Notamacropus eugenii: one gene and its partners. The protein of the gene in region 3 purifies or fractionates together with the protein of the main gene of each other region. This does not show direct contact. Links are inferred from orthologs where the notes say so. Each region holds a gene or a part of one and is shown on either strand. Other genes may lie near its edges.

Region 1 (10,213 bases), on a different chromosome or scaffold from region 3:
TCTTTACAAATTTATCACATATTTTCTGTTTTCTTAAAAAGTGTTATTGGGTATAATTCAAACCATTCTTGATGATTCTGTGTTATCATGTGAACATCCATCATCAGATAATTTTGTAGTATAGTCTTGTGTATACTTTAGTTTTTCTGTCTCTTTTTTCCATTTTACACCATGAGCTGTCATGGTGCTTGCCTCTATAATACATGCCTACTGTCCAATTTTGCTATCATCAAATAACTAGGCTTGCTAAGAATTATTTTTAATTTTTTTTTTAAAAGAAGTGAATAAGAGGTGCACCTTAGGCATTATCTTGGTTATTCAAGCGTGTGGCTTTAGTACAGAGGCAACTGCTAGGGGGCTTCAGCCCTTCAGGACGCCAAAAAGTGTTTGCGGGGTGAGTGGGATACAGGACATCTAATATATTATAACATACCAATTGAACACTCAAACACTGACAATAAAGATAAGAAAACATTGTATAAAGACTACTAAAAAGCAATTCCATGGAACAAAACAGACACATTGTATAATCGTATTTGCTGTTGTTTTGGGTCTAAAGTTTTATAGTTATCCTTAACCAGAAAAGGAAAATCTTTAAATTACTTCTAGGCTAACACCAAGAATTTTTTTTTTTTTTTTGGTAATTGAGTTATAAACTTCCCTGCAAAATATCCTATCAATGTACCCTTCTGTATTTACAGGTCTAATTCAATAGAGTTCAGTTATTAAATTACCAAGGACTCAAGAAAGTAACATTTCAGCTAATTTAATAGAACAATTTGTACATGAAAGATTATTCTATTTGTTTGACCACCATTTGAAAAGATTAGGCTACACAAATCACAGCATTAAAGCCATTAGGTAGAGCAATCTTGTTCTAAGGTACTGGGAATGAAGTTAAAGTAATTGGTAACCATAGAAAAAGTAGGAGCAAAGCCTTTGATTCTATTCCTAACTCAATCTGTGACCTGGGGCAAATTACACTTCCATTTCTGTTTTCCTGACTGTACAAGTAATATAATAGTGCTGTTTCTGCTTGCTGAAATCAATGGCCAGGAGTTACTAAAAAGCTAATTCTTATTTCAAAAAGCAGTGATAACATTCTGAAGTACAACAGGCTAAGAATAAATTAGCAGCTCACATTTATACAGTGCTTTCAGATATGTAAAGTTTGTCTGTTAGATAGGATTCAAGAATTATCCACATTTTACAGATAAAGAATCTGAACTTCAGAGAGGTTTAAATGATTTGTCCAGGGATAAAACCAGTGAAAGTTTCTCTGGCTTCCTTCAAGACTCAGCTCCAATCCCATATTCTGCAAGAAGCCTTTCCTCTAAGACTATCTTCTATTAACACATTATGTCTTGTATGCACAGAGTTATTTGCAAGTTGTTTTCCTCATAAGAATGTGAGCTCGTTGAGAGAAAGAACATAGCTTTTGCCCTTTTTATCCCAAGTGTTTAAACACGCTGCTTAGCTCGTAGTAAGGGCTTAATAAATGCTTGTAGACAGCAGAAGTCAGCATTCTAACTTGGATCTCACCTGAGTCAACGTCTAGCACTCTTGTTTCTTTAGCACATCTCTTCTGACAAGAATAATTTTCATAGAACTCTCAACTTTGAATCTCTGAAAATCCTTATCAGATTAGGTAGAACCTTTTAATATTTCTCTCTAAAGAAGCAAAACAGAATTCCAAATGAACTAAATTTGGCTGTTTTTTATTTATCTATTGCCCTCACTTTTACTGCCCCTCAATACTAATAAGGTTTCCAAACATTAAATTCAATAAGCATTTAAGTTCCTACAACACATAAAAAGTCATACTAGATTCTGAAGGAGAACCAATACCACATACAATGTGGTTGTTTTACCTTCATAGAACTTATGGGAGATATGTGCCTGGTAGACATGGCACACATACAACCATGATACAAATAAATGGTAAATGCACTCCAGAGGTCTTATGAGAGAGAAAGAAAAGGTCTGGGATGGATAGGAGGTTGACGAAGAGAAGTGGTAGAAACAATCACAAAGACTTCAAAGAATGAGTAGAAATTTTTTTCCAAGTAGGAAAAAATTTTAGTAACAAAAAACAATAATTATATTAATACAATCTATTAACCTTTACGTCATTACTGGTTACTGGTGGCAAGCTCAATATGTTTAATATCCTTATGGTGAAATAGTGTCTGCCTTTGAGTTTTTATTTCAGCACTAGAGTTTAAGAAAAAATAAACCAAACATCAACTTTAATAGCTCACATGTCTGAAACGTCGTTATAAGAAATTAACACCTAAGAAACAGTGGCCATAACAGTTTCTGCATCGTTATTAATCTCTAAACTTCTTTCCCTTTCTAAAATTCTTTAATTCTGAAAAGGCCAAGATTCCTCTTTAGTAATACCTAACCCACCCCTTTTCCTCAACTAGTTCAATTGTGAGCACACATCCTTAACCTCCTAGAATTTATTACCTTTTCTTCCTTAAGTCTTATGATTCCAAAAAAATTTTCAAGATCAGGTATCCCACTGCCCTCAACATCTATTTTTTTTTTTTAACATTTGTTCCTAACCTACTCTATTCTCGTTCACTTCTCCAAAACTCTATCCTAGTAGAGTCCACACCCCCCAACCACCACTACCTACCCTTCCAAGCCCGCTCCTCCCGCAATCACTACGGCGCCATCTCCCCTCCCGATCCGACCTCAGATTCACACTCCGCACTCTAACTTGAGTCAAGTTCCTTTCAGACCTTCCCATGGCCATTTTTCATTCTCCGACACGTCTCCTTCGTTACTCTGGTCCAGGGCTCCCAACTCTTCTTCCCCGGCGCCGCTCGCTTCCCATCGCGGGCCCACCCCGAGCCCCTCACCCTCATCGGTTAACACTGGCCTCCCCTCCTCGTTCGGCTTCCCTCCTCCCCCCGCCCCATTCCCACGTACCCCGCCCCTTCCCTTCCGTGGACAGGAGCCTCCCATCACCCGTCCCTTCCCCAACGCCCCCTCGGGTCACCCCCCCCCAGTCCCCACGAGTAGCCCCTCCCCCAGTCTCTCTCACCCACCCCTCCCACCTACAGCCCCCTCGGGTCGCCCTCCTCTCCCAACCGTCCCCTCATCCCAGGAGACCTAGCTCTCTTTTGGGGCCCAACTCGGGCCCAGCCCTGGTGCGGAGCGAAGGGAGGCACGTACCCCATGCGCAATTTGGCTCCGCTCTGGCCGCCCCCGCCGCCCGGCAGGGGGGGGCGGGAGGGCAGGCGGCCCAAGTGCATGGTCTTCTCTAAAGCCGACATGAAAGGAGAGGAAAGCAGGAGGGAGGCCGAGGCCGCCGCGTGTCCCGTCCCGGGCCGTGTCGTGCCCGAGCGTCGCCTCTGGGACGAGTCGACTTAGACGGAAGCCTAAGCGACTGCAGGACTCAGCTTGCTTGCCTCTCAGTAGCCCTCAGACAGCCTCTGGACGCCGGCGGCACCTCCTCCCGCCCACTAGCGCCCAAACCCCTCCCCTTGTCGCCTAGCCTAGCCACTCCTCGGCCCTCGTCTCCTCAGCGACCTGGCCGGAAGTGCGCAACCGATCTCCTGCGGAGGAGCCTGGGTAGCAAAGTGGCGCACGAGCCCGACGCGAGAGGGCGGGGTCCGCGTAGCCAATGGAGTCCTCCGGGAACCGTCGGTGCTACGCCGGCGCATTAGCTCATGTGAGCCGGGATGAAGGAGAGGCGGTGTCCACCGGAGTACGGATCCCGTTACCATAAAGAGAGCGGGTCGCAATGCATCCTGGGCTTTGTAGTTCTGGGAAGAACCAGCCCTGACTCGCCTTCCTTACCCGACCTCGAGAGCTAAGACTTTTGGTAAGAGAGAGACGGCCGCCTGTGGCTTCCCTGAGTTTCCCAGGAGGCCCTGCGGCGGCGACGGTTGCGAGGGAACGCGCGCGCGGAGCGGCTGCGTCTGCCTTGGCGGGACGCTCCAGCCGCCCTGGCGGAGGGGGACGCGGCAAGGGGGCTGTTGGGGGTCAGCGGCTCCGGCGCCGGCGCCTCAAGGACTGAAAGCACCGCCTCGCCATGAAACAGCGAAAGGGCCCGGCCGCTGGAGGCGGCAGCAGCCGCAAGAAGAAAGGTAACCCCGGCTGGGGTGGGGGGAGGGCGCCCAACGCGGGGCCGCCCCGGGGAGAACGTGGAACCCCGGGTCGTGAGGAGGGGTGCAGAGGGATGCCTAAGAGAGGTTGGAAGGAAAGGAAGGGACGCGGGGGCTCCCAGGGAAGAAGGGGGACCCAGAGAGGGAGGAAGATGGGAAAGACAAACTTGGGCAGATACGAGGGGTGCCTCCGACCCTCGGGTCAGGTCAGGAAACGCGGGAAATGGGGCACCCCTAAGGAAATTTGAGAGAGAGAACGGCATCCTTAAGGGGCGGGGGCGAGGGGAGTAAAGAGGGAAAAAGCCCGAAAAGTCAGCCTCCGGGCCCGGCTTCACGGCTGTTCAGTCATTCCTGTCCTTCTGACAGCTCTTTGAGTCTGAGTTGTCTGATGGACACGTCTGTATATGCCCTGTTAACTAGAAAAGGCCGGAAGGAGTTCCTTTAGAAAGCCAGAAATGCGAACCTACAGAGATGTCAGAAAGAAGGATTCTAGTCAAAAGACAGCTTTACCTTGTAGAGCGTGACTGTTGGAGGGTGTGGGGAGAAGCAGTCTTGAGGGTCTGCAAGGGAATGTTTGGTCACCTCCACTCTACCCCTCACAAGTCACTCATCTGTGCAGATGGCTTCTCAAAGATTGCTTTGAACTTGTCTTTTTTCTCCAGCATAGAATAGAAAATTAATAAATGGTTATTGAATTTGACACAGAAAAGTCTAGAGAGTGTAAAAATAACTTCTTGACTCTACAGTGTTATCCTGAGAAGGGATTTCAGTAATAGAGATTTAAATTGGAAGTTGCCAGGATTAGTACCATAAAGCCCTCTGTAGAATCACAACTTTTCAGAGTTGGTGGAAGCTTCAGAGGTTTTCTAAGCCAACAGACATACCTACCTGAATGGGAATCGCCCCTGCAGCATTCCCAACAAGTAATTATCTGACTTTCACTTAACTGTGTCCAGGGATGAGAAACTTCTACCCTTGTGGGGCAGCCTGGTGCACTTTGGAACAGCTTTAATTTTCGTAAAGATTTATTGTTGTTGTCCTTTTTTTTACATTGGACCCAAATCTGCTTCTCTGGAACTTCCACCATTGTTCCTATGTTAATACTGGAAGGAACCTGGGAAATCATCTCACCTAACTCCCTTAGATTGTATGGGTAATAAGCCAAAGAGGAAATTCAGGGGCTTGCCCCAGTGATGAAGTTGATACTTGAACACAGATCTTCTGACTCTCAAATACAGTGTTCTTTTTTCTGTATTAGGGCAGTTGCTGGCAGAAATAAAGGTTCTCCAGTTGTTACATAGTGTCTTACTTGCTTACCTACTCCAAATTCTGATTTATCATTCCTTTCCTTTTACACAGGTCTAAGTGATATTTCACCATCCACGAGTCTACCACCTCTGGTTGAAGGTCAGCTGCGATGTTTTCTGAGACTAACCATTAATAAAATACTCTGGATGGTTATGAAGCCTCCAACTCCTGTTCTCATCCGAGTGAGGTGGTGGGGGGAGACATCCGATGGAACAATATTTTGTCCCAGGGATGCTTCCCTGATTGAACAAAAAGCTGTGAGAACAACAACCCGTTATCCTATTCGTTGTGGACCAAAGCAGTTTACCTCTTATCTAACAGGTATGCTTATCTCATCCAAACTTTCCCTCTTAGTCGTTCACCCTGGCAGTTTGTTTTATACATTTGCTTATTTTCTGTTTACATGTATGTCTCTTTACTAGAATATAATTTTCATGAGATAAGAGTTGGCTTACCTAAACCTTCTGTCTCCCAAAGTACCTACCACAGTACTTTATACTAAGTAGGAACTTCCTAAGTGTTTATTTAAAAAAGTATTATAAACAGGACTTTTTTTTGTTGTGCCCAAGAGGCAAGGGAAGAATGTATGACAGTTATAAATAGATTGCGACATACTATTCACAGTCTTTGAAGCTATGCCAGAAACGGTGTAAACAGAATCATGAAAGACATGACTGACTGGAGGAGGAAGTCTCATCATGTGGTGAGAGTAAGGAATAAGAATGAATAGCCTGAGTGCTGCATTGATACGCATAAAACAGTGTTAAGTCTACAAGAAGACCTCTAAACCATTGGGCACATCCTTTATGGAGGAAGGATTTGAAGAAAGACATGCATGAGATGAAAATGTGGAGGAGTTGTGATATGTGTTCTATTATGGAGTACTTTTCCTAGATCCAATGAAGTATTTTTCATTGAGGTTAAGCATTTTAATCAAATGCATTCTCCATATGAGGGCTGGGGAAAGAGTAGAGAGAAACTCACCCCTAAAATCTGGAGTATATTTTGTCCCTAACTTAAGTTTATGAAACCTATCTTATATATTTCCCTGACACAGTTATGTGCCTATACCAGGGGTGGGGATCCTGTGGCCTCAAGGCCACATGTGACCTTCTTAGGTCCTTGAGTATAGCTTTTTGACTGAGTCTATGTTTTATGGAACAAATCCTTTTATTAAGGAGCTTTGTTCTGTGAATTTTGGATTTAGTCAAAAGGGCTGCACTTAAGGACCTAGGAGGCCACAGGTTCCCCCACCTGTGTAGGCCACCCCCACCATCTGTGGCCTACACAGATTATACACAAGATTATAGTGGCAGAAAGTGCTGAAATTCCTGTGTTTTGGGTGGAGTAACAATAGTTTGGCTAATTCCTATTGTACTGGCAAATGTTATCCCTGGATTTGTATGACTATGGGCAAGTCCTCTGGGGACCTGTTTTCTCATCTGTAAAATGACAATGTTGGCTAAGAACACAAATTCTTATAGGTGGAAGGTTATCATAGGATAGTAGAGTATTAGAGCAGGAAGGGACTTCAGAGGTTATCTGATCCACCCTAAGATCACAGAGATGAGAAAATTTACCTCTAAGATGTGTTCTAATAAGGGATTTCCATCTTGAATGGATCGATATTACTTTGGGTTTAGAGTATTTTAACTTTCCTTCCTCAGACTAGAGCTGTGCATCAGTCATCTGGATTCCCTAGTTGGCAACTATTGAGAAAGAGTTAGAAAGTGGGTTTCCCCACATTCCCCACCAAGGCTATTGCCTTGGACTCATTGCACTCTGAGCAAGTTAAACAGAAGAGGATATGGAGGCAGGGTCTGGCTGGGATTTCTGAGCTGCTTATTTGTGGCTTCATTGAGGAAGGGGAGAAAATAATGTTCTGTGGACTCATATCCTATTTTTGGTCTTGACTTGTGATTTCATTAGTATAGTAGGCAGCCGTCCAGTACTACAGCGCAACAGTGGTAGCACTACTGCTATTTGTTTTGCTGAGGCAGGTCAACACTTTTCTTGGGAGATCTACTGTCTTGGAGAGTTTTCTGTAGTGCCAAGAGGTTTGTCTGGAGATGCTACTTTCTGCCCAATTTGTAACTTGAACCCAGACCTTCCTGTCCATTAGACTACACTGTCTCAGGGGACGAAAGTAATCATAAAACGCATTTCTTTTCCAATACTTTATTCTTGGGTCCATCCTGATCTTCTTTTGTTTCCAGAAATTTTTTTGAAAATATTTTTTGGAAAATAGCAGTACTGCAGACCTGGAAGGCAATTGTACTGGTTTTCAAAAAAGGGAGGAGGATGGAGTCTTCAAACTATAGGCTTAAAGGTGTGATACTTAAAGGGATGTATTGATTATCATGTCTGAGAGTAGGTCATACCAAACTCCTTTTTTTTCTTTTTTGACAGCATTACTACACTGTAAAATCAACAATGCCACAGACATAGTATACTTGGTATTAGCAAAGTTTCTTCTTTCTATTCCTAGTCTCTCACTAATCTCTAACTGAAATTTAGCATTACCTTCGATTATTTTTTCCAATTTAATTTTTTGGTTTTTGTCCAATTACATGTAAAAACAGTTTCAACCTTCCTCTTTTCAAATTTTGAGTTCCAAATTCTCTTCCTCCCTCTTCTTACCCTTTATTGAAAAAGCAAGCAACCTGACATAGGTTATACATGTGCAATCATGCAAAACACATTTCCCTGTAAGTCATGCTTTGAAAGAAAACATAGACCAGAAAACCGACTGCAAGTAAAAAAAACTATTTTCATTCTGCTTTCAGGCATCTACCAGCTCTTTCTCTGAAGATGGACAGTGCATTGCATCGTATTTTCAAAATCATTTTAGGTCATTGTATTGTTGAAAATAGCTAAGTTGTTCATAGTAGATCATCTCACAATATTGCTGTTACTGTGTACAGTGTTCTCCTGGTTTTGCTCATTTCACTTTGCATCAGTTCTTTGCAGGTTTTTCTGAGAGCATACTGCGGGTCGTTTGTTATAGCACAATAGTATTCCACTATAGTCACATAAGGCAACTTCTTCAGCCATTCCCCAACTGATGGACATCCCTTCAACTTCCAATTCTTTTCCACCACTGTAAGAGCTGCTATAAATATTTTTGTATATATTTTTGTTTTTTATCTCTTTGGAATACAGACCTAATAGTGATATTGCTAGGTCACGGAATATGCATGGTATTATAACCCTTTGGGCATAGTTCCAAATTGCTCTCCATAGTAGTTAAATCAGTATACTTCATCACCAGAACATTAGTGTTTTAATTTTCCCACATCCCTTTCAACATTTATCATTTTCCTTTTTTGTCATAGCAGCCAGCCTGAGAGGTGTGTGGTAGTAGCTGAGAGTTGTTTCAATTTGCATTTCTCTAATCAGTAGTGATTTAGAAAATTTTTTTCATATAACTATAAATACCTGATTACTTTGAAAACTGCCTATTCATATCCTTTGACCATTTGTCAGTTGAGGAGTGGCTCTTATTTCTATAAATTTGGCTCAGTTTTCTATGTATTTGAGAAATGAGGTCTTTATCAGAGAAAGTCACTGTAAAAAATTTTTTTTCACAATATCGATTACTATTTCCCTCCATTCCATTTGCCTCCTGTTTATCCTGCTCTCTCTCTCCTTTCACCTGGTCCATTCTCAAAAGTGTTTTGCTTTTGACTTTTACCTCTCTCATCTGCACTCCTTTTTACCAGCCTCTCCCTCCTTTCCGTCCCCACTTCCTTCACTCTAAAATCTCTTTCAGGCTGCTTTTGTGTTCGATAATTTACCCCATTCTGCCTCTCCCTTTACCCTTCTCCCAGGACATCTTCTTTCTCACCTCTTAATTTTATTTTTTCAAATAATCATCCCATCATATGTAACTCAAACCCATGTCCTCTGCATACTCCTTCTAACTTCCCTAATAATTAGAGAGTTTTTCTCATATTTCATTTTCTCATATAGGAATGTAAACAGTTTAACGTTATTGAATCCCTTATGATTTCTTTTTCCTGTTTATTTTTTTATACCTCTTTTGAGTCTTTTATGTGAAAGTCAGATTTTTCTATTCAGTTCTGGATTTTTCATCAGGAATACTTGAAAATCCTCAATTTTATTGAATGTCCATGTTTTTCCCCTGAAGGATTATACTCAGTTTTGTTGAGTGGGTGATTCTTGGTTGTAATCCTACCTCCTTTGTCGTCTGGAATATTGTATTCCAAGCCTTTAATATAGAAATTGCCAAATCTCATGTTATCCTCACTGTGGCTCCATGATATATGAATTGCTTCATTTTGACTGTTTGCAATATTTTCTCCTTGACCTGGGAGCTCTGAAATTTGTCTGTAATGTTCCTGGGAGTTTTTGTTTTGGGATCTCTTTCAGGAGGTGATCAGTAGATTCTTTCAATTTCTATTTTACCCTCTGGTTCTAAAATATCAGGGCAGTTTTAATTGATGATTTTTTGAAAAATGATGTCTAGACTTTTTTTTATCATGGTGGCTTTCAAGTAGTCCAATAATTCTTAAATTATCTCTCCTGGATTTATTTTCCAGGTCAGTTGTTTTTCCAATGAGTTATTTCATATTTCCTTCTATTTGTTCATTCTTTTGAATTTTTTAAATTGTTTCTTGATGTCTCATAAAGTCATTAATTTCCCCATTCTAATTTTTAAGGCATTATTTTAATACTTAAGTGAACTTTTGTACCTCCTTTTCCATTTGGGTAAGTCTAATTTTCAAAGCATTCTTCTCTTCATTGGATTTTTGTGCTTCTTT
Region 2 (10,345 bases), about 410 Mb from region 3:
TGAGAAAACTTAGAAACTTACAAAAATAAGAATTGTTTTGGGGGTTGAAGTTTGTATCTTTGTAGCAAGGATTACTTGGGGAAGCTAGGGCAGGCCTGGGTAGGGTACTGAAGAGGGGAGAGGGGAAAAGCAGCATGAAGACTAGCAGCTGATTACATGATTAAAAAGGGATGTACATAGAGAAGTGAAAAAATCTTACATTATTTGCTTTGAATCCATAATACTCTATATCACATTCTACCTAAACTCCACGAAGGGGCTATGTCTTATTTGTTTACAGCAATAGCTAATGCTTATTTTATAGCACTAACTATGTGCTAGACGCTATGTCCAAGCATTTTACAATTATTATCTCATATTAATATTATTTAAGTGGCATTTTATTCTCAAAAATCTACTCCAGAGGTAGAATCCAAGCAACAATCACTAGCCATAAAAAAGGTGAGTTAGCCACTTGTGGGATGTTGATCCATAGCTATAGGTTGTCTATCAATTGATATCAGGAATTAAGGCTTTTTTTTTTTTCCCTAAATAAAACATGACTTAAAATACTCCCAAATCAAAAGCTACTAGCTTTTGGATTACCTATACTAATGATGGTTGACCTACTGAAACACCAGTATCTGATTTCTGAACTTGAATTTTGCAAGTAAATCATAATAGAGTCTTAAAAGATCCAACCACTCTGGTTACTTACCAAGAAATGAAAATTCATTTACTCATTTAATAGGATAAAGGTTGAAATAGAACCCACTTAATAAGCATATTTTTACTGAAAGTTGAGGCAAATGCAATATTATCTGGAAAATGACAAAACTTACCACTCTTTTATCAAAATAAGAAAAATCACAGCAACTGAATTAATCCCCCCAGCTTCTCCCACATGTGACACTAGAGGCTTCTAGTTTTTCTCTAAATATAAGATCATGTAAATAAATGTTGATTTCAGTGCTACATCTTAAAAGTAATGTTGATAGTAACTGTCAGCAAAACAAATTATAAAACAAAAAAATATAGCTAATATAAAAAAATTTTTTTTAACCTCTGAGGGGCAATGCGGCACAATGGTATAGAGGAACTATGGGCTTTAAAGCTAAGACTCAGGGTTCCACCTCTGTTTGACACATATTGACCGTATAATTCTGAGGAAATCACTTAACATCTCAGTGCCCTACAGAACTTTCCGAGACTTTAAAATTGAAAAGAAGCTACTGACTCTATTGGTGTTGGGAGTTTCCACACCTGTTTTTAAAGTATGGTAATTTATTCCCACTAGTCTAACTTTCCCAGAAAAAGAAAAACCTATCCATCTACTGGTTGTGACACTCAGAAAACTTCTTTTTGGTCTAATACTTTTCTGGGACACACTACAATAGACTGATGATTTCTCCTTTAAGTCTTTCATTTTAGTCAGAAAAGCAGTGGGAAAATTTACCTTACTGCCATTTTCTGGAAAATTTCCTACTCTCACTAATTACTCTTTCTACATGTTTCTACAGTAGGACAAGGCAAGTGGAGACCAATAAAGATAAAGTTTACTTACCAGTAAATGTTTGTGAGAACTGTCCTCTTCCCACATCCTATTTCCCTCCCTGTCGTCAGTCTCCATTTGACTGGTCAGCTTAAACAAGACTGAAAGGGAAGTAGTAGGTACAAGCACTAGATTTTTCAACCACTCATGGTGGAATCTGTACTTCCACATATATACTAACACAATAGTAACAGTGCAATTGCTTCCTACTGTAGGATGGGGAAGGAGAACTGTTCCATAAAATTTCAAGTAATTAATTCTTTTTTTTTTAAAGCAAAATTTAAAAACACTCAAACTGAACACTCACCATGTCACCATCTGAAAGCAAGCCACGCCTTTTACTAAAATGTTTCATGGTTGATCATCATTCTCCATAAATTTAAGATGTTTTATCACTTATACTTTTAAAAAAGAGTGGCTAAAATAAAGAGGCAACAGTCCACACCATGTGAGGTTTTGCTAAGTGCTGCTAAGATGAAATTCAAGTTTCCCACCGCAAACATTACCCATTTCTTTCTCTGCAAGGAATTCAAGGAAGAAAACTTACATAATGGCATTTTTTTGATGAATAGAAGGATTGGTAGGATGACATATACAAGTCAGTGTTTAAAATCCAAGTCAGTTGTGTAATATAGTCCATATAGGTCCCCAATTAACCATCAAATAAGCTATTTTTAGGATTGGTGGGTTTCACTGTCAATTTCAGCAGGGTCTGAGTATTAGAGAGTTATGAATAAAACTACCATCTTATCCTAGAAGCAGCCTTCCCATTTCTGGTCCCGATTTGATAATTTCTTTTTCCCCAAGCCCATCTGAGTCAATAGGCCAAGTGTTTCAGCTTCCCAGTGGCAGCACCTCCTTTACTCACAGAAAGCTGCTGTGAGGAACAAAAAGGTTGTTTTTTTTTTTTTCAAAGTATTATCTTGACTTCACAAGAAATGATACAATACCTTTCATTGACCAAATAAAGGCTAAAAACTCCTGTGCCAATTAATAAAATTCATTGAAGGACTGACAGAATGATGAAATATACCAGGATTTTGCCTGTGGCACCTAGAATGTGAGATTAGCAACATCCAATATAACTTTTCTTTTTTAACACTTCAAAACCTTTCCTTCTTTGCAAACTTTAAAGCCTGCTATAAATGCCAGCTATTACGATTATTGCTGAGAAGTCAAAAAGGGTTTGGGGAACCTGGAAAGGGTCAACAGATGAAAGAAAACCAATCACCTTAGGCACTCTCACCACCACCACCCTCCATCCACAACCACCACCCTCTCCCTCCACCTCCACCACCACCACCACCACCATCATCACCCCTCCACATCTCCCCACCCCACTCCCCTCAATCACGTATTTCCACGAGTCATTCGTTGCATTTTGGGAAGAAATCTCGCAACGCTAATAAACCAACTCGACCTTGGCACTAGCGATTTAAGACGTCACCAGCGGCTCTGGATGGAGTTACAATGGTTGGTAGAAGTGACTTTCCATTACTCAAAGTACGCTTCCTCCTCCACAGCGGGAAGTTGGTTCGGCCGCGGAGGCGGCCCCGGGGATCCATTTGAAAGTGGCGCCGCCGTGCGCCTCGGCTACGAGGAGGGGCCTTCTCGGCTGGGCTAGGTGGGCTACACGCACATATATATAGGGGAGGGGGCAAGAAAGAGGGATGGCAAAGAGCGACGAGATGAGAGAGATCGATCTACGAGCAAGTAGGAAAAGAAAAAAAGAAAGAGGGGGATTAGCTAGGAAAGAGCCGGTCCGCGGCAGGCGCCTCGGCCCCCGGGGCCCGGGAGGAGCGAGCACAGCGCGGGAGCGGGCGGGAAAGGCGGGGGCCGAGCGCGGGCCGCAGGACCCGGGCCGGAGCGGGCGTCTTTGTGCCGCCAAGGCCGGCGGCTCGGGGCTCGGCCACACACAAAGGCCAGGCGGAGGCGCCGGGGCTTCCCGCCCCGGGTTCAGGGCCTAAGAAGCCCAGGAAGGGAAAGGGGAGAAGAGAGAGGGGGGAGGGGAAGGGCAGGAGGAGGCCGCGGGGGGAGGGGGAGCCGAGCCGCGGGAGCCATTTTGATTTCCCGGACCGGCCTCCGCCCCCTCCAGTGGCGGCAGCCCCCATCACCGGGGTGCCCCATAACCCCCGACCCCGTACACACACCCAACCCGGGGCGGAGCGTCCTGCCCCCGCAGAGGCCAAGCTCACCTGAAGCCGCCTCGGCCGCCGTTCTGGCTCCGGGCTCCAACTCGGGGGCCCCAGTTTACTCACAGCTTGAGCTCCCAAACCCGCTCCAGCTCCGACTTCTCGCAGCGCCCGGGGAAGGAAAGCAAGGCGCGGCCCTCGAGGAAGGAAAGGGGAGGAGCGACCGGGAGGGAGGATCCCGGGGGCGGAGCCTGGCGCTGAGTGACGGTCCCCGCCAGCGCCTCCACCATTCACCTCCCACAAAGAGTAACCATGGTGACCGCGGCGCTGCCGCGGCCTCTGACTGGCTGAGAACCCAGAGTTGGGAGGCGGGGGAGTCTCCTGACTTCAAATCCCGAGGGCGTGGGGGAGGGTACGGAGGGGGTTGTAGTTCCCGCTCTCCTGGTTTTAAGGCTGGTAGGCGGCTGTGTGCTCGGGCTGCCCAGCGCGGACGCGCTGCCCAGCTCCTCCCCTGGCGGGGTTCCGGGGACCTGCTCTGGCTTGTCCAAGCCGTGGGCCGGACGGCTGCGGCGGTTGAATGGACCGGTGGCCGCGCTGCCCGCGCTGGGGTGGCAGCGTGGCGTGATGCATAGAATCCTGGACCTGGCATTAGGACGACGTGAAGCTGTGAAACGGCGGACAGGTCCCCGGGCTTTTCGGAGCGCCAGTTGCCTCGTCTGGAAAAGAGGGATAATACCCCTCACAGATGTGTTGGAGATTCCCCGAAAAAATGCATATAGTCATGTTACAGTTACTAACCTTCTCTGGATTTCTGCAAAAAATGGTAAAGGTTTTCTGTGAACTCGTGCACCCCTTTCTCCAACGCAGGTGACACCTCCTCCAGCCCTTGGCCCTTGTCTTTTCTTTAATCTAGCCTGCTGCTTGCAGTGTGGCAGTCTGCAGACCTGTCCTGTCCATCACGCACCAGTCTACTGCCTGGGAGTAAAGTGAGAAAATATCCTAGTCTCCTACTCTGGGCTCACTGGGAAAAGGAGGAACATTGTTGCCTTGAACACTAAGGATGCCATTCCATCTGCTTCGGTCTGCCTCCTTCAGGAAGAGGGAAAAGACCCTTCCATTGAGCACCAAGAACCAGAGTGTTCCATTAAATCTCCACCTTTGATGCCCTAGGGGAAGGGGAGTACCATTGTCTTTAGCTCCCAGCCCTTACTTATACCCTCACCTGAACTACTTAAGTTCTTGAGAGGACATCACACCATCAAGGCCAAATCCTTAGGAAAATCTAAAATCCAATGATTACAAACTTCCCCCCAATATCTCCTCCCTGGTTCTCAGACTCCTTTCTCCTTCCTGATCCCTGATTTCTCATTCCCTTCAATTCATCCTTTCCCATCTCAGTGTCCAACTTTAAATCTACCTTACCACTTCTGCTGTGCTACCTGGAATGCCTGCTCCACAGCAACAAACTTTGCTTCCATCTTAAAATTTTTCCTTTCCTACTAATCCCAGTTTCCCACTGTCATTGATACCTGGTTACCTCCTGATGACACACAGCCTTTCTTTTCAGCCATGGTTGCACTTTTCACTCCTTCCTCCTGATTCACCAGTCAAGGTGATGGGAAGTTGGAATACTTATTGTCCCTGCCATCATCCCTTAGTAAGTCATTTCTCTTCTTCGAGGTTCACTTTTTCATCCTTCCTCAAACCTATGGCTCCCCTTCCTTCATCACTCACTCAGTGCACATCCATTACCTAATTAAAATCCTAGCAATTGTTTGCCAAACTCCTGGACTAGTCTCCTTGTTTCTTCGGTAAGCTCAGTGCCTGACTTGGTCTTTCTTGCATCCCATTCTCCTGCATTGATCCTAGGAGACTTTAAAAATATATATATTTGATGCTCCCTCAGACATCCTGACATTTTAGTCCCTCAGCTTATTTCACATAGTGTGCTCCTCCATCTCACCTCAGCCACACACAAAGATGATCATACCCTTGGTCTTGCTCTCCACCCACAAATGGCACCACTTTCATGATCATAAACTCTGACATTCCCTTATCTGATCACGGTCTGTTGTCATTTCACCTCTGCTTTTTAACCCCACACCATGAATGCCCTCCAGTCTCACAATTCCTCAGTTCTTTAGTTCTCTGCCAGACTGTCCTGGCTACATTCTCCTCCTTTCCTCAATCTCCTTGGTACGATCTTCCTCTAGGGCAGCGCTTATTAAACTGTGGGTCAACACCTCCTATGGGATCCAGTAAATGAATGGGAGAGTCTTCATAAATTTGGCAACAGTGAAAGGTTTCTAAACACACTGACCAAAAATTAATTCAAAATCAAACGAGTAATGGATCTGAGGTGTTTCTGGCAGCATTTGCCCCAGTGCATCTCTCAATTTCACTGCAGCCTTGGTTCTGAACATACAACATGTGCACTTTGCACTGTGAATTTTGAAATACACTACAAAAATCAGCAGCCTATGACTTTTGATTCAGCTATATTACTACTTAGTCTACACTGTCATGTAGGATATAGATCAAAGATAAAGTAAAAGGATATAAATGTCCAAAAATATTTGTAACAATTGTTTTCTTTTGTCACTCAAAACTGGGAACTGGGATGGGCGCGGTACCCTCCTTTTGGGAATGACTAAAGAATTATGCTCTATGTTGTATCTTAAATGGACAACTTCAGAAGACACTAGGAAGACTTCTATGAAATGATGAACAGTGAAGTGATCAAAAATTAAGAACAATTTATATAATGACAACATGATAGAGAAAAAAACACCTTTGAAGGCTTTAGAACTATGATCATTGCAATCATAAACCATGAGTCCAAAGGACTGAAGATGAAACATTGCACTTACCTCCTGCCAGGGAGATGCGACATGCATTTTGGAACATAGTGAAGGTGAGAATTTGTTTTGCTGGACCATGTATCTTTAGAATAAGGTTTTTTCTTTCTTTTCTGTATCTTCAGTTTGGAGGGTGAGGAGGCAGATTATAAATGTATCTGTGTGTGTATGCATGTGTGTTCTCAGAAATGGGCCTACCCCAAGATTCCAAGAAATAATGACACTTGACTTTGTTTTGAGTGAGGGAGGGCTGTGCAGGTCACCAGCCTCACTTCTCCTCCAGAGCCATCTGAATCCAGTGACCAGATATTCACCAGGATGAGGCATTTGGGGTTAAGTGACTTGCCCAAGGTCACACAGCTAGTGAGTGTCAAGTATCTGAGATAAGATTTGAACTCAGGTCCTTCTGACTCCTGCACTGGTGCTCTATCCACTGCACCACCTAGCTGCCCCATAAATGCACATAAAAAGCTGCAAAGCAGTCCACTTGGGAAGAAGCAGTCTCCCATGTGAGAGAAAGTGAGAGAGAGATCAAGTGTTTCATTAAGAATGTTATATATTGTGTATTATTAAGCACATATTATTTGATACTAAGTATTATATATTAAGTATATACTAGGTGCTTTCTATGTTTCTGGGACATTGTGAAAAACTAGAGTTACAAATGCCAACAATGAAGACAGTACCAGGCCTCAGGATGCTTATGATAGGAAAAAGACAGTAATTAGATGGGAGATGGAAAGCGAATGGGGGAGGTTATGAAACTAGTGTCACATTATGAGGTAGAGGCTTGGATCTGGAGGCAAGACAAGGTAGAAACTTGCTTATCCAAGCCCAGGTAGATTTAGAAGTAGAATCCAAGATCCTGGTAGAGAGATAAATAGAGAGGAGAAAGCTTGGTGTGCAGATTGCAGGGAAATGATGGTGACAGTTGAATAATCTTTTTTTCCCCAGGTGTAATTTTTTTTACTCTGTATGTCCATTTTTTAGTGTAAACATATTGTAACTACAATGTGAGTCTGTTTTTCTTTTGGGTCTTGTGAAGCTCTAATAGAGATAAAATCTTAATGGGAAAAAGAGATAGCTATATTTGGAGATTTTCCTGTAAGGTAGGAGGGGACATCATTTGTATGATATGCAAATTATTCTTTTACATTTTAAAACTATAGACCAGCTGGTATTTACTGCAGCTGGGATGACTTACTGATTATCCTATTTGAAAGGGAAGCTGCAAATTCTCTGCTTCTTAAACCTACCTTTAGTGATGGGGTTTCCTCATATCATGATTGTGTGAAATATCTCTTATCTTTACATCTCAGTACATGATTTGTAGCCATATAGTATAATCCAGAAAATAATGGAATTTAAAGATAGGCTCTTGAGTCTTGGAGAAGTTTGGGATCATTGAAAGTATGTCAAATACAATCCAGTTTGATCTGTTCAGTTCCCAGTGTAGCTAGTTGCCACTCTTCAGTCCCTATGTCTCTAAGATCTATGTGTTTTTGGACCAATTACTTCAAGTATTTTATCTAGATGATCAAAATTTGGTCTGAATGTTAACTTGCCAACAATATTTGGCCCAAGTAAAGGTAGAGTGTTTGAATTCTGTGCTTATACATTCAGATTTAACTAACATTTGTGAAACCTGTAGCCTGAGCCCTGGGTTTCTTTAACTAGCCTCAATTTGAGGGGCTTATTGAAATATAAAATAAACAAAAACTTGTCTGGCTCATTTGCCACCTCCCAGAATTTCCCCTGGGAATCTCAGAATTTGTAGTTCCTCTCTATTCTGGCACCAGTGCTTGCCAGGTACGGCTTGGCTGAGGCCATAGAATCTGGCATCTGGAGTCAATACCTTGAAGTTTGCCCAGGATTCATTGTTCCAGGCTTGCTGATTTTCTCAGTAGAGTAATTAGGCTCCTCAATGCTTCTTTTCAACCTCACCTCAGATTCCCGAGGAACAAAAATTTGGCTCTAATCTAGGATCTTCTCCCAAAAAAGGGAGAACTAAAGGAAGTACCCAAGTACTCAACATGAATCAAATATGGAACAGGTAGTTTTTTTCTCACACAGGAAAAGGAATGCTAAGCAATAAGGAATGAAAGAATGTTTAGAACAGAATTAAGTAACTTATCCCTACTAGTTCAGTCACTTGAGAGGCTAATGTTTAAGCCTTGTTAGGACACATTCAGTTTCTTTGTGAAAAGCCCATGTAATTCAAATGAGGAACTAAGACCCAAGAATGTTGCTTATTACCCAAAGTCACACAAGCAATAAGTACGAGAGACAAGTAGGATTTCAACTGAGGCCCTCTTTCTTCAGTGCCAGTGCTTTTTCTTGTCAATAGTATAGTGGATAGACAACTAGCCTCAAAGCTAGAAAGACCAGTTTAAGTCTCACCTCTGACACATCCTGTCTCTGTGTCCCTAAGTTGCGGAGAAGGAGTCAGATCTGCCATTCGAATGTCAGAAGGGAGTTTCCTCACCTGAGAGTTCCCTGTACCACCATAGTCACAGGTCCAATTCTTGTTCTTGTTCTTTGAGAGGACTTCTAATTATTCACTGTCTTCCTCATTAAAATGTAAGCTCCTAGCAAGTAGGATTGGTTTCCTTCCTTGTGCTTCTACCCTAGCACTTGGGCTATGCCTGGCAGCTAGTAAGTACTTAACTTGTTAATTGGTTGACTCATTACATTTTACTTCCATTGAACATAAACTAATCACGAAGTGCAATGTTTCTTGTTAATTTCTTGTTAATTGATTGACTTATTACATTTTACCTCCATTGAGCATGTAATGTTTCCTTTTGGTGGTCCCTCTCCCTCCAAAATGGCTCTCATTTTTGGTGTATTTGCTTTGGCCACATGTTGACCAAATGTGGTACCGATTGTTTCTCAGCTGCCTGGGTAGGGAAGATTCCAGCTGCCTTTTGAGACCTCACAGGTCAGTGTGCCAAAGAAATTAATAAACAAGGGGAGACAGCCCAGTCCTAGCCACAGGCTTACCAGGAAGCCATGAGCTCATAACCTGTAGCCAGTTGAGAGGAAGCATAGCCCACCTCCCTCCAACCCTCTTGACAGCTCAGAAATTCTTTCTTGCTCTTTGAAGCCAGAAGGAAGAGGAAACCTGAGAAGCAGGAATCACCCCTTTGGCTTATTCATGGAATTCTGGCTTTTCTCACTACCTACCACAAAACCTCAAGTCATCATGACATAGCAGCAGTTAGAGGATATCAGTGCATACTATGAAGAGTGTGTGTGTGTGCGTGTGTGTGTGTGCGTGTGTGTGTGGGTGGGTGTGTGTTCTCAAAAGTGGGCCTACCCCAAGATTCCAAGTGCTTGACTGGATTTCTGACTGAGGATGTCTCAGGCGGCATTAGATTTCCATAGATGAAGGTGTGAACATCTATCTAACAATAAATTTTTTGGATACAGGGCAGTCTTTATTTGTACCCCACAGAAAATGCAAAACAGCATAAAGGACCCATTCACCCATAAGGAATCAGTACTATTCTGTTTCTTTCTCTGGTGTGAGGTTTAAAAGGTTCAAGAGGAGGGGAGTGGAGCCAAGATGGTGGAGTAGAAGGACTGACTTACTCTAGCTCTACGCCTATAGCCCATAAAATACTTGTGAAAAATGACTCTAAACAAATTCTAGAGCAGCAGAAGCTACAACATGACAGAGTGAAAGAGATTTCCAGCCCAAGACAACAGAGTGGAGCACAACCCAGCCTTGGCCAAGCAACACAGCATGGACAGGACTGGAGCAGGCTTCAGGGTGCAGAATCATGGGTAGTAGCTGTAGTTCCCAGATTTATCAACCCACA
Region 3 (10,100 bases):
TCTACCACTAGTTCATAGTTTAGCTGGACTCCATCTTCTCAAAAGGTCACAAGATGTTTTCTATGTGGCCTCATATTCCTTTCCTCCAATGGCCCAAACTCTACAATCCCCTCAAATTTATTAAGTGTAGTTTGCAATTGGTTTACTTTTTGAACATTCAGGTAAGATGACTGGGCTTTTTGTGATTATGTTAATTGTTGCAGGAATGGAACCCAATCCTTAACACAAAGGAAAAAAACAAAACAGTTGCCTGCCCTCAAGAAGCTTGCTTTCTATCCAGGGTCAGTGTAAACGTAGGAACAAAGAGAAGATTATTTGAAGTAAATACAAAGTAACAAGAGTTTTCTTTTTTTTTTGGAAGGGGGAAAGGGTAAGAGGGCCATTAGAAGTTGGGAATGGAACAGGAAAAACCTCAGATAAGAGAGGGTACAAAATCTTAGATTCAAACTAAAAATTAATTTCTTGTAGGAAAGGGATAGTTGGTGGTGGGTGATGGGCTGGGTGCAATCAGGAAATAGTTATATTTTGTTTACCCTAGAGATAGTATGAGTAGAGAACATTGAATATAGTTGAAGGGGCACTGGTGACAAACACATAGATTAAGAATACAGCTCATCTATAAAATGGGGAGAGTCTCCACCCTGTCTACCTCCTTCAACTGTTAGAACCAAATGTGATGATGACCACTATGTCATTGGAAAACACTGTGAGTCATTTTTTAGGACAGGACTGTTCTGTCTCTGAAATCTGGTTATGATCCATTATGAGTGGAGACTGGATTTGAAATAAACACCCAAGACTGAGGTTAATTGAAAAGAAAAATAAATGGATAGGAAGAGATCCTGGGAAACATTATGAGCAGAGCCAGCCAGCACAGGAACATCATAAATGGAATACCCAGGGGTACAAGGGGCTTTTCATTATTTTTTTCTGGTGCTGAATCTGCAGACAACTTAGTTTGGCTTTTCTTTCTTTCTTTCTTTTTCAGGTGAGAAGTGTTATTGCAGAAGTAGGGGAAAAAATAACCCAGCTTAAGGTGCGATTCTGCAGCTGTGCAGACTCCAGGCATTTTTTTTAACTGTTTAAAATTAGGATGAGTGAGCTCTAGAATGAAGAAGGAAGTGACGAGGAGAAGGCCGGAGCAAAGCTCGGAAGGAGGTGTAGAAGGGAGTTCAGGTGAGGGAGGGGATTATCTAATTTCTCCTAGACTTGTGTTGTAGTGGGATAGTCTGAAGCAGAAGTGCCAAACTGAAAGCCAGCTCTGCAAACACCCCCTCACCACACCCATGGGTAGGCGGCTCAAACTTCCTTATTTCTGGCCCCAGATGCCTAGTGCCTTATCCACTGGGCTATGAATGTCTTCTGAAGGTCTGATTTTCCCAGTTCTGACACAGAAGTTATTCCATATCCCTAGAGTGAGGAAATTCACCCAAATGCTCAATCACCCTCATTCTTGGCTGATTTCTTTGCCTGATTCTCTGTTTGTGACCTCTCTCTCTCTCTCTTTCTCTCTTCCCCCTTCCCCCTTCCCCCCTAGTCTGTCTCTCTCCCCTACCCTCTCTGTCTCTTCCCCATCCCCCTGTCTCCTCTTTCCCTCTGTCTCCATTTCTCCTCTCTTCCTGGGGAGCTGTGCTTGGAGTTCCAGGCACTGAGGGTTTTTGCACCACGATCCATGCTAAGTTGGAACCAACCTTGGAGGCAGCTCTTTTCTGGGCCTCTGACCTTTTACCCTCTGGTCAGCAGTGTCAGTCCAGCTCCCATCATTTCCTCCCTCTTCTAGGCTGGAACCCAGCCCCCACTTTCTAGGTGGCTGTCACAGATGCCGTTTTGTTTCTGTTTCAAAAAAAAAAAAAACAAAACAACTAATAGGAGGGACAGTAAGGTAGCCCTGAAGTCAGGAGGACCTGAGTTCAAATATGACCTCAGACACTTCCTATCAGTGTGACCCTGGGCATGTGACTTAACCCCAATTGCCTCAAAAACAAAAAATAAAAAGGTGACTACAACCTTGCTTAGTGTATTACTGGACAACTATATCAAGCTCAAATTCTACTGAAGGTGTACAACATACAAACAGGAAATTATATAGGTGTCCATCTGAAGAGGATTTTAGGGAGGGTAAGGCAAGGTTTCCCACAGGACTTGCTATCCCAGTTGCTCTGGTTCTAAATCCAATTTCTCCTTCCATAAAACCAGGCTCTGCCCCTCAGAGAACTTAGATTCTTTTCAGACATTAGCAGCACCCATGCCAGTCGCTACATCTAGCAGTCAGGATTATGGAATGATTTTAATTGAACATATCTCTCATTAGAATGGAACGTGGGCATTGTTTTGATTTTCTTTATGACCTAAGCATTTACTACTACTACTGCTACTGCTAATACTGCTGCTGCTGCTGCTACTACCACCACCACCACTGCTGCTGCTACCACCACCTCCACCTACTGCTACTACTACTACCACAGCTACTACTACACCTACTTTATACCAGGCACTTTTCAAAAGGTTTAGGAATATTACATCATTTCATCCTGACATTTTACCGATGAGGTAATAGCAAACAAAGGTTAAGTGACTTGCCCAGGGTCACACAGCTAGTAAGTGTCTCAGGCCCGATTTGGGAGGGAACGAGAGCCGTTCTTTCAGTTTTGTCTTACAAACCCTCCTTGAGGTCTAGGGCTTTTAATAGTAGGAGCTTGACAGGCTCCCAGATTTTAGAGCTGGAAGAGACCCCCTAATTCTGCAGAAGGGGGAATCGGGCTTGCAGGAGGATGAGTGACAGAGCTGGTATTCCAAGCCGGGCAGTCGTTTCCAGAACCTAGAGCTTGGAGGGACCTACGGGACCGTCTATTCCGAAGAGTTAAATTGGGCTCAGAGCGATGTGTCCGAGGAAACTTCAGATGTGAAGATGTCAGGCTAGGGGAGCTGGCCCTGGACTCAGGAAGACCCGGGTTCCGGTTCTGCCTCAGACACCTCCTTTGCGACCCTGGGCAAGTCATTGGACTCTCCCGGCTGCGTGGGTCCCCGGTGCTGGGAGCAGGGGTGGGGGTGGGGGGGTGGACAGCCAGCTGCCCCAGGCCTGGAACTGCCTGCGCTCCCTCCTCATCCTCACCTGGGGCCCGGATGGAAGTCCCAGCTAACCAGCCGCCCCCCGCAGGAAGCTCCCCCCACCCTCCTTCATGGCAGGGTCTTCGCTCCGTGGATCATCCCCAGTGCGTGCAATCTAGAGCCTGCCGCACGTTTGCGGGCCGTTTGCGAGGAGCTGCGTGCACGCGGAGTGCCCGAGGGCCTGGAAGCCTCTGGAGGGCAGGCCAACCCCCGCCCAGCTCCAGCCCGCACACCCGGCGCGGCTCGGAGCCACGCCTCTCCTCGCGAGCTGCAGCGTAGGCGGGGCAGGGGGCAGGGCTCCCGAAGGGGCGTGGCCGAGCGTGTGCGTGCGTCGGCGTCGCGAGGGGCGGTGAGGGGGAGCGCCGCACGCCGCCGGCCCCGCCTCTTCCCGCCCTCCGGGCCCCGCCCCCCAGTGACGTAAGCACCCAGGCCAGCCGGCGCCATTTTGAAAGTGGAGCCGCTCGCCGCCCGCCGCCGCCGCCGCCGCAGCCACCGGTGCCGCCGCCGGGGGGGAGAAGAAGAGCCGGGAAGCCCCGGAGCGCCGCCCCGCCCTCCCGTCCCGCCGCCCCCCGGCCCCGCCGCCCCCCGGCTCGCGCCCGCGCCCGCGCCCGCAGGGGCCCCCCGCGCCCGGGGAGGGCGGCGGCCTCGGCCCGGAGAGCCTGAGCAGCCCGGCGGGGCCTCCATCGCCCGCGCGCCATGGCAGGTGAGAGCGGGAGCGGGGCGCCCCGCGCCCCCCCTGGAGATCCCCCCGGGGGCGGGGCTCCCGCGGGCCCGACCGGCGCCGCCATCTCCGGGGCCCCGGCCCGAGGGGCCGTCCCCGCCCCTCCCCCACCCCCGCCCGGCCCGAGGGGAGGGGGAGGGGAGGAGAGAGGGGACCCCTTGGGGTGGCCTGCCCCTCCCCCGACCCCGAGCCGCGGCCCTGCCCGCGCCCGCCGCCCGGCGCGGAGGAAGAGGAAGAGCGGGAGCGGGACACGCGGGGACCCGGCCCGGAGGCACGAATGGGCGTGGGGGGCTGCTCGCCCGGCGCCCCCAGGTCCGCCCTCCCCCCGGCTCTCGGGATGGGGGGGCGCTCCTCGCACCTCTGCCTAGAGAGAGGGAGCCGAGGCACCTGAGGAGGTCCTGGGCCATTTTACAGAGGAGGAAACTGAGGCCCAGCCAGGGCCGCGAGCGTCGAGCGTGGGGGGCTTGCGGAGCCCCGGGAGGTCGCGGGCTCGGCCGACCTCGGGGACCTGCGGCCGGCAGGCTGGCCGGGAAGCGCGCCTTTGTAGCCCGGCACTCGGAGGTCACGCGTTCCTCCGGAGGTGCCCTCCCTCCGAGACGGTCCCCGCGTTGTCCGTGGTCTCCCGTGGATCCGCCGGGCCTCGTGGATGCCCGACCTGACCGCGGAGGCCGCGGAGTGGGGCGGCCCCAGAAGCTCGGAGCCCCGAAGGTGCAGAGGCTCCCGGGCGGAGGTCACGCTGCTCCAGCGCCTCTTGTGTTAGACCGAAGGAGGGGGAGGCCCGGCAAGGTCCCCTCTAAACGTGGGCCAGCCCCGGACTCGTGCCCCCGAGGGGCCCGGCCGGCCCGGCCTCCAGCCCCCGGGATTGTCAGGCCCAGAAAAGTCCCCGTCGAGATGAGCCCCCTGGTCTTGTAGATGAAGCAGTCCAAGCGTGGTGCCAAGGGTGGAAAACGAACCCAAACTTTCATCTTTGCTTGAAGGAAGGCCTGTGCCCGTGCCACTTGTGTCTCTGCCCCTCTCCCAGGGGTGGGCGTTTGGGGGGCTGGTTCATGGAGTTCAGTGGTTCTTGTGCTTATTAGTTGAGCAGTTCGCTGAGAGCCAGTGGCGGAAGAGAGAATCACAGTCTAAGAGCTGGAAAGGCAGAGTAGCCATTGATTCCAATCTGTACGAGCCTGTATTGGAAAAATGAGATTTTACCTACTGACATAGGAGGAAGAGGACTTGGTAGGTATGGGGAGCATCTTCTGTTAACGAAGAGTGGGAGTGCAGAGAGGAAAAAAAGAAAATACATTTTTTTCCCCCAGCAAATTTCCTGGGTCTGAAAGATTTCCGTCACTTAAGAGAATCAGGAATAGACCATTTAATTGTGTTACCCTTTCTCCTCCACAAGTTTTCTTCACTGTGCTTCCATCTATAGCAGTGTGAAAGACAGAAACATCACAGACTGAGCTAATTCTTTATCTCGAAATCCAGATGGATTTTTGCACTTCAGCTTGTATTTTCTATTTTTTAATGTGTTGGATTGAACTTGTGATTTTGCTAAAAAGCACGTTGCTTTTTGGCCTTGTTAATCTAGTAAAATTAAAACTGTTGCACAAGATGGTAAATTACATCTGTTGCTTGGCCCTTTGGATTCTGAGGGGTGGGGTGAAGGAAGAAAGAAACTTCCTTTTGACAGCCTCTTTAGCAGCATTCATTTCAATTACTTTTCCTGTATGTAATGAATGAGTGATTGGCTGGCAATGAAATGTAGAAAAATGGGTGGTGTTTTTGGGGGGAGGGGAAGGTGTTGGTAGCAAGGTTCAAATGAATCACCATCTTTCACAGAGCCAGAAATGTTCCTGAAGTTGTCACTTCGTGCAGTGTTTCATGGTAGTTTTAGTTTATTAACTGTAACACGGGATATTGTCTGCAGATTTAAAAAGAAAACCACTTTAAAAATGGTTTACTTTTTTGTATTGCTTTCTGATCTTTCTTAACTACATGTGATTAGCATCGTTTTTGGAGAGGAGGTGAAGATTAAAGAACAGTTTTAAGCAGAAGTGCAGTGTTAGTGATCAGCCAATGAGTTCATGCTCTTAAAAAAAACTTAATTCCAACATTAAAAAAAAACTTCGAAGACAGTTTTTTTAAGTGATGTACTTTCTCAAGGGTCCAAAGGCACAAAATTGGTCAAGAACTGTTTTAACAAACTAAGTCTCAATAACTTTTTCTTTGTAAGTAATGAGTTATGACTTTTTTTCTTGATCTTGAATCTAGATCTGATCACAGTAGCAGAAAAAATTCCTAATGATGTTCTACTACAACTTTCTCCAAGTTGGAGATTTAGGGGCACAGAGGTTCTCTGAGTGGGCAGCTGTCGCTAGTGGTGCTGTGCTGACCTTGGACACTAGCTCTCTGTTTGGGGTGGGGGAGTGAACAAAACTCAGACATGATGTTAATGGGGATTGTTTTTCCTTTTAGGAGCTGGAGGAGGAAATGATATTCAGTGGTGTTTTTCTCAGGTGAAAGGGGCAGTCGATGATGATGTAGCAGAAGGTAAGAATATTTTTTAACAATGGAAGTTGAATATAAACTAAGCTGGATATTCTTTTAAATTTTGATTCTGCAGAAATAGTTCTTGCAGATGATGGCTAGTAAAGCTGTTGGTTGTGTGAGAGCCTGGGCCAGCCTCAGGGGCTCTCTAGTTGGGGCTTGCTTGGAGGGCAGCTACCCAGAGCTCAAGGAAAACCTCTGACTCGGGCCATAAAAGCAGTCCTTTGCTCTCTATTCTGGGTGCTTTGTTTTCATCCTCCCACCCACCTGCCTTGTTAATTTAAGAAAATTCATGACTTAATGTTAAAATGAACAGTTCACACAGAACTGTAGACTTACAAAGACTTGGGAGCTCTTTGTTGTAAGTAAGCTTTTTGCTGCTTGATTTTCTTCGTGATACATTGTACTCATCTTGAAGGTTTTTTAGCTTAGACAAACAAGTGTGGAAACTGTACTTTTGAAGGTTGACTCTGTTTCATACATGTACCAGTAAAAGTTTTTTTTTCTGTAATTTTTTCTTTCTGTCATTAGAGGAAGTTTTAAATATTGCTGACTTTTTATTTGTTTTTGAAGCTAACTTTTCATATTAATGACCAACACAAGTTCTCAAAAGTAGACCTTTCAGATCCAAAGTTTTCGTTTGTCTCTGGAAAGTATGAAAGTATTTCTTTGTGTGTTATCAGAAGCTCTAATTTGATGCCTGTTTAATAGGATCTAGATGTTAGTTTTGCTACACATTTAAAATTTTTTTCTAATTAGAAATCTTATTTTTAATGAAGTGCAAGAAATTGGCAAGCCTTTTGTGTCTAGTGTGAATCATTTTCTCCTTCTCCTGTGTTCTCCCTTCACGTAAAAAGAGGGCATTAATGGACTTTCCTATATCCATATCTGCATGGTTTTTCCCAGGAGTTGTCACAGATTTGTGTTAAGCCAGCCCTGGAGCTTTTCCTCTCAAGTTGTACCAGTGGGGCATGCTTTAATGATGTGGCTGGCCAGGGTTAGGTGGAGTCCTGATCATGAAATGGATTTTTCTTTTCGGGAAGTCAGCTGGCATATATATTATTGGCACCAGGTTCATCTTAGAGTGCTTATGCTTCAAAGTGGGCTTTGCCTTCAGGGAAGCTTTTGTGGGAGAGGTGGCATTTGAAGTGGATCTTAGCAGCTTGAATGAAAGCCCTGAGCTAGGGAAGGGAAGGCTTGACCAGGAAACGTCCCTGCCTGGGAGTTGGGACTCTAAAAGGGGTGGGGTACTGTTCATTTGTGGAAGTCTTTCTGGAGCAGATTAAGGCATTAGACTATTTGGCAGGTAGTAGGGAGTTATTAGAGAGGTTTGATCTTCACAAGGAAGGCCTGTTGGAAGGGGGAGTGATGTGGGGTGGATGGGTCTATTATAATAGGTCGCACCTTTTAATAGCAGTCTGGTGTCTAAAATAAATGAATTCTCGATTTCATTTGAATTTAATCTGAGTATTACATGTGTTACGTATATAAAATATCTGTCTCTTAACCTTTAGATTGGGAGAACTGAGGACAAATGGATATTTAGAAAGCCATATCACAATATCTTGTTCTAATGCTTTATATTAAGATAAAATATGGTTTCCATTTTCCTGTTTTTCAGATGGATGCTATTTTATTTTGTGGGTGATTCTGTTTGCCAGGTTTTTGTTTTTTTTTCCCCTTCCTTAAATTAATATTATTCTTGCCTGCTGGACTTTTCATGCGAAACGATTTTGCCTCAGTTTCAGTCAACATTTTATTTTGAAAATAAAGCCGAATATCAGGCTTTTTGATGTATATGTTCTAAGGGACTGTGTTATTTGAAACGGTCATTTAGGTCTTGCTTGGGTGCTAACTCCTGTGTCAAAACAATTTGCCAGCAAAAGCAGCATCATTAAGCAAGGTCATGTTTTATATCTTTTGCTTCTTATATTGAAATTGGGTTCTAATTTTTTCTTACTCAACCTTCTGGGAATCGTGGGTTTGTTAGTAATATGTGGGGATGCCAGCTACTCGTTAGGGTTAAAATTGGGTTGATGCTGCATATGAGAAATTAAGAGGCTGTCTATTTTTGGTTCTGCACTTGCTGTGTAACCTTGGGGGAGTTTCCTCATGAATTAAATGAGGAGGTTGGAGTAGAAAATCTTTTCCACTGTCTAATACTAAATAATAATTCACATTTATGTAGGACTTTAAATTTGTACAAAAAACTAGATTTCCAAAACAATGTAAAGTAATAAAGCTTGCCTTTACTTTTCTGATAGACTTAGTGAATTAAGAGTCTCACGGTAATCTCATTTGTCACATATTTTCAAAGTGAAACCCACATACAGTTTGTGTCTTATCTAAGTCTGGGTATGTCCTCACCCTCTCATTGAACTTCTTTAGTCTCTTATTGAATTTTTTTCTGCAGAGTATTAGGGTGTGTTTTTTTTTTTTTTGAAAGGGGATAATATTTTTGCCAAGTCTCAAAACAAGTGATAATTGTGTACATAAATGCAGGAGGAAGAGTTCTTTGTTGATACACATAACCAATTACTGCTCATTGAAATAACAAGTTAAAATTTGTCACTCCCTGCTTAATGATCTCCACTGGCTCCCTATTACCACTATGTCTAAATCCAGATCTCACTGACGCCGTATCGTGTAGCTGGAATGCTCCCTCTCACCTCCTCTTCATAATAGCTTTCTTTTAAGCCTCAGCTCACATGTGACCTAGATAAAAGCTTTCCTCATTCCCCCCCCCCCCCACCTTGTATATATTTTATATAGTCTCACCATTTTCTAACCATGCTACCTTGTGGTGATGTGCCCTCCCTCTCACCCCGCCTTCAATTCCCCTTTATGTGATAGCTTCCCAAATTAGAATATAAACTCCTTGAGGGCAGATACCATCTTCTTTCTACTCGTATTTCTGTCTCCAGTTTTTAACATTGTTCCCAGGTAGTCAGAGAGCAAGCATTTATTAACGATCATATCTGTCGACTGTGTGCCAGACACAGTCAAAGAATCCCTAAACATTGGGATACAAAGCCAGGTAAAAACAATCCTTTCTCACGAAAGGAGCTCACATTATAATGGGGAAGACAATATGTGGAAAAAATTCGTGGACCAGATAAAGGCTGAGCGAATGGAGCAGGCTGGAGACAAACAGATGAGGTCTTCTTAGGACGTTGGAGCTGAGTCTTGAAGGAAGCCAGAAAGAATTGATCTCTAGGTGTGGGGAAACAGCCAGTGCAGAGGTATGAGGACTGGAGATAGGATTGTGCTTTTTGAGGAACAGCTAGTAAAATGGTGTAGCTGGATTGTGAACATGTGGAAGAAAGCAAAGTGTAGAAGGCTAGAAAGCGCTAGTTTGGGAAGGGCTTTAAATGCCAAACAGGATGTTCTATCTGATCTTACTGGTAATAGGAAACCAGTGGTTTTTATTGAGTAGGGGCTTCCAGGGTCAGAGCTCTGCTGTAGGAAAATCACAGCAACCAATTAGAAGGCTACATTTGGAGGTGAGTGGGAGCCTGCCTCAGAGTGGTGGTGGGCAATGAGGAAAGAGAAGGAAATACAGAAAAACGAGTTGGGGAGGTATGAGAGAGGCCTGGAGGATAACCCCAAGGTTGCTGGTCTGGGTGACTGGGAGGAGGAAGAGGATGCCCTTGCTTACCCTGAGGGAGTTTGGATGCAGGGAGGGTATGTAGGTGGGGGTGGGGTGGGTGGGGTTCTGTTTTGAACACGGTGAGTTTGG

Evidence for each region.
Region 1: the proteins of PPP2R2A (region 3) and PPME1 purify together in Homo sapiens (affinity purification with mass spectrometry; 3 studies listed by BioGRID and IntAct, with this or other methods). This does not show direct contact. The link is inferred for Notamacropus eugenii from reciprocal best matches to the Homo sapiens genes PPP2R2A and PPME1.
Region 2: the proteins of PPP2R2A (region 3) and CDCA4 purify together in Homo sapiens (affinity purification with mass spectrometry; 4 studies listed by BioGRID and IntAct, with this or other methods). This does not show direct contact. The link is inferred for Notamacropus eugenii from reciprocal best matches to the Homo sapiens genes PPP2R2A and CDCA4.

What each region holds. Positions count from the first base shown.
Region 1 is NC_092876.1:131,097,546-131,107,758, forward strand, and holds the start of PPME1 (protein phosphatase methylesterase 1), read right to left. Parts: upstream 3,902-10,213; 5' UTR 3,288-3,901; coding exon 3,187-3,287; intron 2,944-3,186; exon of another isoform or gene 2,765-2,943; coding exon of another isoform or gene 2,703-2,764; exon of another isoform or gene 2,645-2,702; intron 1-2,644. Other genes in the region: C2CD3 (C2 domain-containing protein 3), read left to right, coding at 4,049-4,103, 5,481-5,750. UniProt on the Homo sapiens protein: Demethylates proteins that have been reversibly carboxymethylated. Demethylates PPP2CB (in vitro) and PPP2CA. Binding to PPP2CA displaces the manganese ion and inactivates the enzyme.
Region 2 is NC_092872.1:335,157,532-335,167,876, reverse strand, and holds the start of CDCA4 (cell division cycle-associated protein 4), read right to left. Parts: upstream 3,902-10,345; 5' UTR 3,727-3,901; intron 3,641-3,726; exon of another isoform or gene 3,235-3,640; 5' UTR 1,703-3,234; coding exon 1,544-1,702; intron 1-1,543. UniProt on the Homo sapiens protein: May participate in the regulation of cell proliferation through the E2F/RB pathway. May be involved in molecular regulation of hematopoietic stem cells and progenitor cell lineage commitment and differentiation.
Region 3 is NC_092872.1:744,062,338-744,072,437, forward strand, and holds the start of PPP2R2A (serine/threonine-protein phosphatase 2A 55 kDa regulatory subunit B alpha isoform), read left to right. Parts: upstream 1-5,538; 5' UTR 5,539-5,661; coding exon 5,662-5,698; exon of another isoform or gene 5,699-6,042; intron 6,043-6,289; coding exon 6,290-6,364; intron 6,365-10,100. UniProt on the Homo sapiens protein: Substrate-recognition subunit of protein phosphatase 2A (PP2A) that plays a key role in cell cycle by controlling mitosis entry and exit. Involved in chromosome clustering during late mitosis by mediating dephosphorylation of MKI67.